2 linked regions of the Caenorhabditis elegans genome follow. The protein of the gene in region 1 purifies or fractionates together with the protein of each later gene. This does not show direct contact. Each region holds a gene or a part of one and is shown on either strand. Other genes may lie near its edges. The genes, in order: popl-5 and lsm-8.

Region 1 (4,184 bases):
CAAATTTCCGCGAATCAGATACGATGAAGCCGTGCATCTTTTAGCTTTAAAAGGCTCAAAAGTGACGGCAAAAAGTGGATTTTCGAAGAAAAACGAGCTGGATTTGGTGAAGCTTCACGACGATCATCCGATCTTTGTCACCCACTACCCAGTGGGCCAAAAGCCATTTTATATGGCTCGAGACGGACAGCTAACCCTATCATTTGATCTACTTGTGCCAGGAATCGGAGAACTCGCTGGAGGATCGCTACGTGAGCAATCGGCAGAAGAGCTTCAGCGTCGAGGATGTGGAATTGATTGGTATTTGGAGATGCGGAGGCGAGGACAGCCGCCTACCGGAGGATTTGGAATTGGATTCGAGAGAATGCTACAGTACTTGTTGGGTGTACAGAATATCAAGGATACGGTGGCTTTTCCGCGGTGGCATCGGCATTGTCAGTGCTGAAATTTTGGGATTTTTAGGATTATAGTTTTAATAAAAATTTTTTTTTTTTGCAATTTTTTTTCCTTTTTTTCCCTTAAAAATTCACTGTTTTACACAGTTTTAATATTTCTTTTTTCAGAATTTTTTTTAGAAAATCCTTAAATTTGCAAATTGGAAAAAAAACATTTTGCTCTAAAAAATCAATTTTTGTGGAAATTTCATTTTTTCACAAATTTCTCAAGTTTTGGATTTTTTTTTTCCAATTTTCAAAATCATCGGAGATTTTCGATTTTTAGGGTTTTATAATTTTTTTTAATACATAAAAATGTAAAAAATTTGGAGAAATATGTGGTTTTTTTTTCAATTTTCTACACAAATCTGGAAATTTTTGCAAACATTTATTTTGTTTTTCTGATTTTTTTTTTAGTTTTTCATGAATTTCTCAATTTTAAAATGTTCTTACACTAGTTTTCCGAATTTTTAGAAATTTGAGAAGTAAGAAAATTATTTTTTAAAGAAATTGTGTTTTTTTTCAATTTTCTTTAAAATTTGAAATTTTGATTGACTGATTTTCTGCATTTTTTCCCTACTTTTTTGGACAAATTTCGGATTTTTTCTTGAATTCTCAATTTTTTAGAACATTTTTTTCATATTTTTCTCATCAAAATCAACTTTTTTTTTCAATTTTCAAAAAAAAAAGAATTTTGGACAAATTTCGAATTTTTCATATTACGGCAGCAAAAAATTCTGAGAATGCGTATTGAGCAATCAATTTGACGCGCAAAATATCTCGTAGCGAAAACTACTGTGATCCTTTGAAATACTACTGTAGCGGCTGTGTCGATTTACGGGATCGAGCGCTACAGTAGTCTTATTTAAAGGATTACTGTAGTTTTCGCTGCGAGATATTTTGTGCGCGTCAAATATGTTGTGCAATACGCATTCTCAGAATTTTGTGATTCTGTAATAAATTGCTCATTTTTTAAAAATTCATAATTTCACATCAAATTCAAATTTTTTTTTCTAGATTTTTTTGATTTTCGACTTTTGAGGAATTTTTCAATTTTTTCTCCTTTTTCAGCATTCTCATCCAAAAAAAAAATGGTAAAAATCAAAAATCGCTACTACGTGATTCGAATGCTCACAAATGATGGCTCACCACCGACACCAAGAAAATCGTCGATTTTTCAAGAACTCATGAAACTCACGTCGGAAATGTTTGGAGATTTTGGATATTCTATTTTGAAAATGAGCCTTTCGGTACGGCTTTTTTAAAAAATTTAACATTTTGTGGTAAAAATGAAAAAAAAATTAGGAAAAAATTGAGAAACTACGGAAATTTTGAAAAAAAAATTTTTTTTTTTCAAAATTTTAATTTTCAGAATTTTTTTTTTGTTTTTTTTTAATCAAATACTAGAAGCAAAATTAGCATTACAATGTTCAAAAAATTAAAAAAAAAAAGTTTTAAATAAAAATTTTTCCAGGTTCGAGTTCTCGACGAAGACGTGATCGTACTCCGAGTGGCCGAAGGCGGAAATAAATATTTTGGAGCAATTCTTCCATGTGTTCATAAAATTGATAAGCAGCCAATGGTCTTGCAGACTATTTTCATTGGTAGAATTATTTAAATTTTTGAAAAAAATCCGAAAAATTGATTTTTTTTTTTTGAAAAATCCAAAAAAATCCGAAAAATTCTGGATTTTATTGAACAGATCCGAAAATTTTTCTGGAAATTATTTCAAAATCTGAAATTTGTTAGGAACAGGCCGAAAAATTCTCGAAATTTTCCAAAAACTCCCAAAAATTCTGATTTTTTTCAAAAACTCCGAGAAATTCTGGAAATTTTTGAAAAAATTCCAATTTTTTCAAAAAAATCCGAAAAAAAATTGTAATTTTAAAAAAAGCTCAAAAAATTCTGGATTTTTAATTGAAAAAATCGGAAAAATTGGATTTTTTTTTGAAAGATCAGAAAAATCAGGAAATTTAAAAAAAAATCCCAAAAATTCAGGCATTTTTTAAAAATATTCCAGAAATTCTGGAATTTTTTGAAGAAAATCCAAGAAAAAAAATACCAAAAATTCTGCACAATTTGAAAAAAATCTGAAAATTTCTAAAAAAGTCCGAAAAATTTTGGAAATTAACAAAAAATTACAAAAGTTGTGGAAATTTTCTAAAAATCTGAACAATTCTGATTTTTTTTCTCAAAAAATCCAAAATCCAAAAAAATCCAAAATTAAAAAAAAAATCCCAAAAATTCTAAATTTTGTTTGAAAAAATCGGGAATTTTTGTAAGAAAATCCAACAAAAAATGAAAAATTGAAAAATTTTGGAAATTAAAAAAAAAATCACAAAAGTTCTGGAAAGTTTCCAAAACAAATTGAACAATTCTGGATTTTTTTTTCTCAAAAAAACCGGTCAAAATTTTTTTTCTTTTCTTGAAATTAGAAAAAAAATCCGGAAATTTAAAAAAATCCGAAAAATTCTGCAATTTTTCAAAGAAAAATCAAAATCAAATCATTCATATTTTTTTTTGAATTCTGGAAAGTCAAAAAATCGATAAAATATCGCCGCAAATTCTCCAAAAATTTCATTTTAAAAAAATGTATAAATTTACAGGCAGAAGCATGAGATCTTGCGAGAAACGACTCATCAAAAGCCGCCGAGACGAGCTTCACGATGCTCTCGGAAAATGCACAAAAACTGGTAATTTCAGCTCAAAATCTTGCTGCAAAAATATCTGAAATTGTCGACTGTTTCCAGAAACTCGAACCCAACTTCTGGAAGCAATCCATCAAATTTGCGGTCAACCGGCTCGAATTTTCAGCGACGAGCAGCGCAAGGATCAGGCAACTACTAGCTGAAAATCGTCTGGAAATTTTAATTTTGTTATGTATAATGCTGCTAACTTTTTTCTGCAATTTTTAATTTTTTTTAAATAAAAATTTTTTTTTTCAAAAATGTTGGAAATTTTGGAATTCAAAAAAAATTGAAAAAAACGTTTTTTCTTCAGAAATTCGATTCTTTTAGTTTCAGAAAAATTCAATTATGTTTTAATAAAATTTCCTTTTCAAAAAATCGTAAAAAATTCAAAATTTAGCTACAGTAACCACACAAAAAACTTTTTTTAAAGAATTTCGGATTTTTAATAATGTAGGCGTGTAGGCATGTAAATAGGCATGTAGGTGCATTGGAAGGCATGATGCAGGCGGGTAGGCATGTAGGCGCACTGGAAGTTATAAGGTAGGCAGTTTGTAACATGTAGGCATGATATAGGCACGTATTTGCGTAGGTAGGCGAAGGTACTCATTTTGTGGGCACGCTGGCATGTAGGTAGGCATGTAGGCGCATTGGAGGGCATGATGTAGGCGAGTAGGTGCAAATGTAGGCCTAAAGTAGACATGAAAAAGCCTAGGTAAGCTTGTAGGCGCATTGTAAGGCATGAGGCACGCATGCAGGCAGAAGGCGTGCTGTAGGCATGATATAGGCATGTAGATATGGGCATGCAAAAATTTTTTAGGGGGAAACATAATTTCAATCGATTTTTGTTCTCCAGAAAAATTTAAATTTTTTTAGATACAGCTACAGTAACCCCAAACATTTTGAATTTCTGAAAAACTCATCTTTCCACAAATATTAGAATTTTCGAGAAAAAATTTATTTTTTTTCAGTAGCCATGTAGGCGCATTGGAAGGCGGAAGGCGGAAGGAAGGTATAAGGAAGGCAGTATGGAACATTCGTATGTGCTTAGTTAGGCGGTGGT
Region 2 (5,526 bases), on another chromosome or scaffold:
AATAATCCAACAAATTCCATTACAGAAGAGGTTACTATAGAGATATTTTGGGTGTGAGTGTGAATCTACCAACCACTGCGTCTTTTGACTCCTTTTCCGGTGATCGATGACGTCGAACTTCAGGCGAACGTTGGCGATGATCCTGTGAACGTCTGACTGGTGAAATTGCTGAAGATCTGCGAATCGGCGACATATCTCTGCGTTGTGGATAATGAGCTGGATTTTGAAGACGGCGTCCGCCACCACCACTACCACCACGACCGCTAAATTGTGGTGTACGATGATCACGGAATGTTGGTCGACGATTGTCGTTCTGGTTCTGGAAAAAATGTTTATCGATTTTTACTTTATGCTTTTATTCTGGTAGGAAAGTTGAAAAACGCGCAAAAACTCTTGTTCAAAATTATCCTTTCCCCATTCTATTTAACTCACTCTGATACTGCTCATTTTGCAACTTCGATCCGTATATTCCGTTGAAATCGAGCACTGGAATATTTTCTGCAAGGTTATTTCTGTGAAATGGCAAAGTTCAACGAGGAAACGATATTAAAAAAAGAAATGTTAAACCGATAAACAAACGGTTGAAACACGAAAAAATACAATGACGTTGCAATTTGAATAAATGCATATTTAATACATTAACTATTAAAAACAAAGCAAATAAATATGTATAAATTTTCACAATATTTGAGAGGAAATTAGAGATCCAAAAATGGTAAAGAAACGATGGTATGAATACAAAACCGTCAAGGAAACAAGAAAAGAATGGAGAATAGTTTGGGAAAAATGATTTAAATGGGGAGAAGAAATGGTGGGGGGAAACGATGAGAATAACCAGTCAATACAACGCGTCAATGCAGAATATCGATTTGTGTGGAAATTATTGGGGAATCCAAATTGGTGCAAGTGGGGCCGCTTTCACATTTTCCAGATCAACGCGTTTGTCGAGTTCTTCATCGATTTCACCGATAATCGCTCTGAAAAATGATAGATTTTCAAAAAGAAACATTTGGAAAAATCTACAGTAGTTGCAGAATTGGTCTTTATATATATATACATCATAGCTTTAAAAGTTTAGTTTCAACTTTTGCAATGAAAAAGTGTTCCGATAATTTCTCCACCCCTCTCCAGAGGGAAACAGAACAGGTTCCGAACACTTTTTTCATGGAATCACATTTTCTTTGAACAAAGTTCGAACGGAATGAATTGAAAGGTGTGAAATTGTGAAAGTTTCGGACATTTGACGCATGTCTACATTAATCTTTTCCAGCTATATTACACTGACGAAAAGTGAGAAAAGATTTCATAAAATTGTGTTTTGAATGGGACATGAATAGGGCCAGAAGGGGTATCCTATCCAAAAATAAACTATTTCGAAATATGAGTATTTATCACTTGACATTTGGAGTGGAGTATAGAGAAGAGTGGTGTATCGGAAACGAAAAATCAATAAATATAATGAAACTAATCAGAAAACAATTAGGTATTGAACAGAGACTGGAAGAGCCAATTTAGAGACTTCAATAAAATAATCAATCGCATTCGCTCAACGAGGAGTTTTTTTTTTAAAGTTTTAGTTCGTTTGGAACTTAACTGAATATGTTTTAACTATAAGCGCTTTTCAGATAGAAACGACAAAGTAAAACTGAAAACTGAAAACCTAGTAAGCAAGTTGTGAAGCTCCGACATAGAATAGGAAAACGGATACTTTTTCAACATTTTTCCCATCGCGTTGTCCATTTTCGTATTCGTTCTCTCGTTCACTATAACTATTTCCCTCTTTCGTTGTTTTTTTTTGTTGCCGGCGAAAATGTGAAGAGTACAAACAAAATAAATTGCTGGTGCTGCTGCAAGGCTTCGGGCAATCATATTGGTCAAGCATCAAATTGTGATTGAGGGCGAGAAAATGCCGAACGATTGGAAGAGATGTTTTGACACGTCATGCTTCCCCGACTTTTCCGTGTTTCCGACCGTAACAGAGCACAAGAAACGACCAGTTGCTATGTTTTTAGACGGCTGCCGAAAGCTGAATGATCAAAGGAACAACAGAAGCACTTGATCTGGTTGTTATAGAACATCAGGTACCAGGACTACTTGCACCTTTCTTTTTTTTTTAAATGATGACTCAATGTTGACTGGCGAAGGTATGTCGACGGAACGTTATAGAAAATATTCAACTGGAAGAAATGAAGTAAAATCAATTTGATGTTTCTGAGATGATAACATTGACCCGTTTTGAAGTGAATTGAACGAGAAAATTCCATTCTCAGCACTGATAGTCAACGACCACAATTAAATCTTATCATCGCATGGGTGCAACATTATAAAAAACGGATGATTAATGTCATCGGAAAAGATTGAATCGAATAGAAAAAAAAACTCTTGATGATAATTGAAATTAGGTCGATCTGTTTTAACACAGAGAAACTATTCTAACGCGACAATTTAAAAAATCGATAATTCATTTGAAGCAATTGGTCCGTAGAGCACTCCAAAAGAAAGAACAGAAGAGAGAGACCGGGTGAAATAGAGAGTACATAATGACCAACGAGTTTTTAGATTCGAAAAGATTGAAGAATGGCGATAGAGCGAATTTGCAACAAGCAAGGCGATGTGAAGCTTTTTATAAGGTTTAATGGGGCGATGTGAAAAAAAAATCCAGATAAAATGCTCCAAATGTTCAACATTTGTACCCGGTCTTTTATTAAAAGTCCAACATCTCCTCTCAACAAGAGAAGACCATGGATTTTGAGCAATAAAAACTGTCTTGGTTTTTAACACTCTCGTACATGATCAAGAGCTTCTTTGCTGAAGCAGGCGGCTCCGCCACTACTCAATTGAAACAATTGGTCAGTTTTTCGATAATGTGCACGGAATGGAAGGAAAAGCATGCCGAGTCCAATGTTTTCGAGGGTTTGTTGATCGTTTGACCCACGGATTGGGTGGTACGGGAACTCGGAAGTAAAATTCATCGGAATAAATGAAGTAGATATTCAAGAAGAGACATTTCTAAACTCTTCATCAACAACTAATTTTAGTCGCAGAAAACCTATAAATTCCAAAAGCAGAGCACCGTGACAAGGTAAAATCGATTTTTAAATTATGTCCCGTCAATTTTCAACTTACACATTCTCTCCTCGAATAATATATAGTCCCAATGGTGTCGTGAGCACACCTTCCGTCTCAGAATACGACCTTTCGTGAGCATCTTCAATCACCAAGTTGATTAATTGATCGAATCCCTAAAATTGTATAATTGAATAAAATATTGAAATTTTAAAAGGTAACATAATTTAATTATTTAATCCGACACATAAGCTCAGTCTTTTTGAACAATTTCTTCAAAGTTGGGATTCAAAATCTCGTGTTTTATAATAATCAAGATGTGCTGCATTTTTGAAATTTCTTGACAAAGGCTCGAACCTTTGTCGCCAAGTGCAGAAGCAACATTTCTTTCTAGATATTTTACCTTCAGAAGTCCAACGATAACCCGACCATCACCAGTGACCACGTTCACCATCCGATTCATGTACGCATCTAGAGTTGAAGTCATATTTTATCTGAAAATTGACTTCTAAATATTGAAGTTTATTGTTCCCAAGTGAGATATTTTTCACGGCAACCCACCTGTTCGCATTCAATTCATGAAGCATAAAAATTTAATGATAATATAAGAACAACTAGTCCTCAAAAATTTCATTCTCAGCTTAATATCAACACAAATGTTTGACATGAATCTATCATACATTAAAAACGAATGTGACAACAAATAACATGTCAAACGAAGAGGCAGTTATTAGAATCGGTTGGGGGGGGGCTTTTGGGAGCGAATTTACGGGTGAGATTGGCAAAAAACGAAGGAGAAAAAGGGAGAAGCTTTTGTTGGGTGGCTGGGTGTTGTGAGATTAGACGAAGACGGGACACCTGACGATTCATCAGATACACTTCAATGAGATGAGGGAAATTAACAACTAACTGCACAATTCAATGTGAATATACTTGACAACTACAGTGAATTGCACAGTCTAATTGGTTACCAGTTCCTGAACAAAGGAAAAAGCACCATAACAACAACTAAAAGACAAAAATTGGGGGCGAAGCATACAGACTTTAGGGAAGAGAAGTAAAAATACAGTTTGTTTTCTGCCGCAGAATCGCTCAAAGAAAAAACGAGCGAAACAATTAAAACAACAAAAAATGACTGAAAAAACTGATGGAAATAAAGTACTTCTACACATCTAAAAAGGCGGGTGGATAAAGTATTATGTTCACAAGAACATCATCTAAAACAACAAAAGTATGTTATTATTATTCCTGGAGTTATTCAAATCAAAGATTACCAACGGAAAAAAGTTGAGAGTCGATGATAGTTTGGGTGAGAATCAGAGAAACAAAACAAACTGGTTCGATATAAAATTCAACCTCGGGAACAACACATCTCAGATCGTCATTGCCAAAAAAGGAATTAAAGAAAAACGCGCGTTAGAAATTTAGGGTCGATTTGTAACTGCTTTTGATTGAGTCTGGGCGTGAGGACAAAACAATTTGGACATTTTTTGAAAGATTAGGTAGGAAGGAAACAGGAATTCTGAAGAGGACTGTGATGGAGGCATTTCAGATGGTGATTGAGGTGATGTTCTGAAGGCACATTTAGAACTGTTGGGCTTGAGCAGTTTGTTGTTGTGGCTGCTGTTGGAAGCGTGGTTGGCCATTGTTGCCCTGTCTGGCTCCTTGAGCTTGTTGGTAATCGAATCCACTGTTATTTCCTGCAAAACCTGATAGAATAAGTATACTGATGCATTCCTTGTGGAATGAGTCACAAGACATGGAATCAAATAGTAACAAAACTAACTCTGGTATCCGCTTCCGTAACCTTGCGATGATCCGCTGTTGTTGTGATGTGCTGCACCTTGTTGGCCGTAATAACCGTTTCCGTACCAGTCTCCCCAAGCTGCTCCAGTAGCTCCGTATGGCATAGCTCCAATTTGTCCCCATCCAGCATACCATCCCGAGTTGTTATTTCCACCACGTCCACCATACATTCCGCGACCACCTGGCATACGCCCTTGGGCGCCTGGGAACCGTTTTCCTTGTGGAACTGCTTTTTTCACGTCACATTCGCGAGTTCCGAAGGTCTGTTTTGTCTGGGAAGATGCTTTGTCTGCGGACTCCTCCTCCTCGAATACGATAAAAGCGAAGTTGCGACGAGCCTTGGTCTGCTTATCGAATGGCCATTCAATGTCGTCGACCTTGCCGAATTGTTCGAAATGAGAGCGAAGATCTTGCTCGCTGTAGTCCGATGGGAGTCCTCCAACAAACACCTTCTTGTTTTCCCTCGATTTTGCTGGCTTTACCTCGACCTATAACAAGAAATATGTTTATTGTCAATTGAACTTATATCTTTTTAGTGCCATTTAAGTAGGCGAGGAAAAAAAACAAGAACTCACAGATTTTCCCTTGATGGTTTGTTCGCGAGCAGCAAGGGCCAATTTACAGCCCTCTCCAGTGGTGAACTCGACAAATGCG

What was found.
Region 2: the proteins of popl-5 (region 1) and lsm-8 fractionate together in Caenorhabditis elegans (co-fractionation; one large-scale study listed by BioGRID). This does not show direct contact.

Annotation. Positions count from the first base shown.
Region 1 is NC_003281.10:11,484,667-11,488,850, reverse strand, and holds popl-5 (Ribonuclease P/MRP protein subunit POP5), read left to right. Parts: upstream 1-1,505; 5' UTR 1,506-1,525; coding exon 1,526-1,684; intron 1,685-1,908; coding exon 1,909-2,038; intron 2,039-3,040; coding exon 3,041-3,127; intron 3,128-3,184; coding exon 3,185-3,285; 3' UTR 3,286-3,372; downstream 3,373-4,184. Other genes in the region: nars-2 (Aminoacyl-transfer RNA synthetases class-II family profile domain-containing protein), read left to right, coding at 1-445.
Region 2 is NC_003282.8:6,324,560-6,330,085, reverse strand, and holds lsm-8 (U6 snRNA-associated Sm-like protein LSm8), read right to left. Parts: upstream 3,561-5,526; 5' UTR 3,554-3,560; coding exon 3,470-3,553; intron 3,243-3,469; coding exon 3,127-3,242; intron 978-3,126; coding exon 881-977; 3' UTR 607-880; downstream 1-606. Other genes in the region: Protein seu-1, read right to left, coding at 74-319, 433-447; sqd-1 (RRM domain-containing protein), read right to left, coding at 4,651-4,775, 4,853-5,360, 5,448-5,526.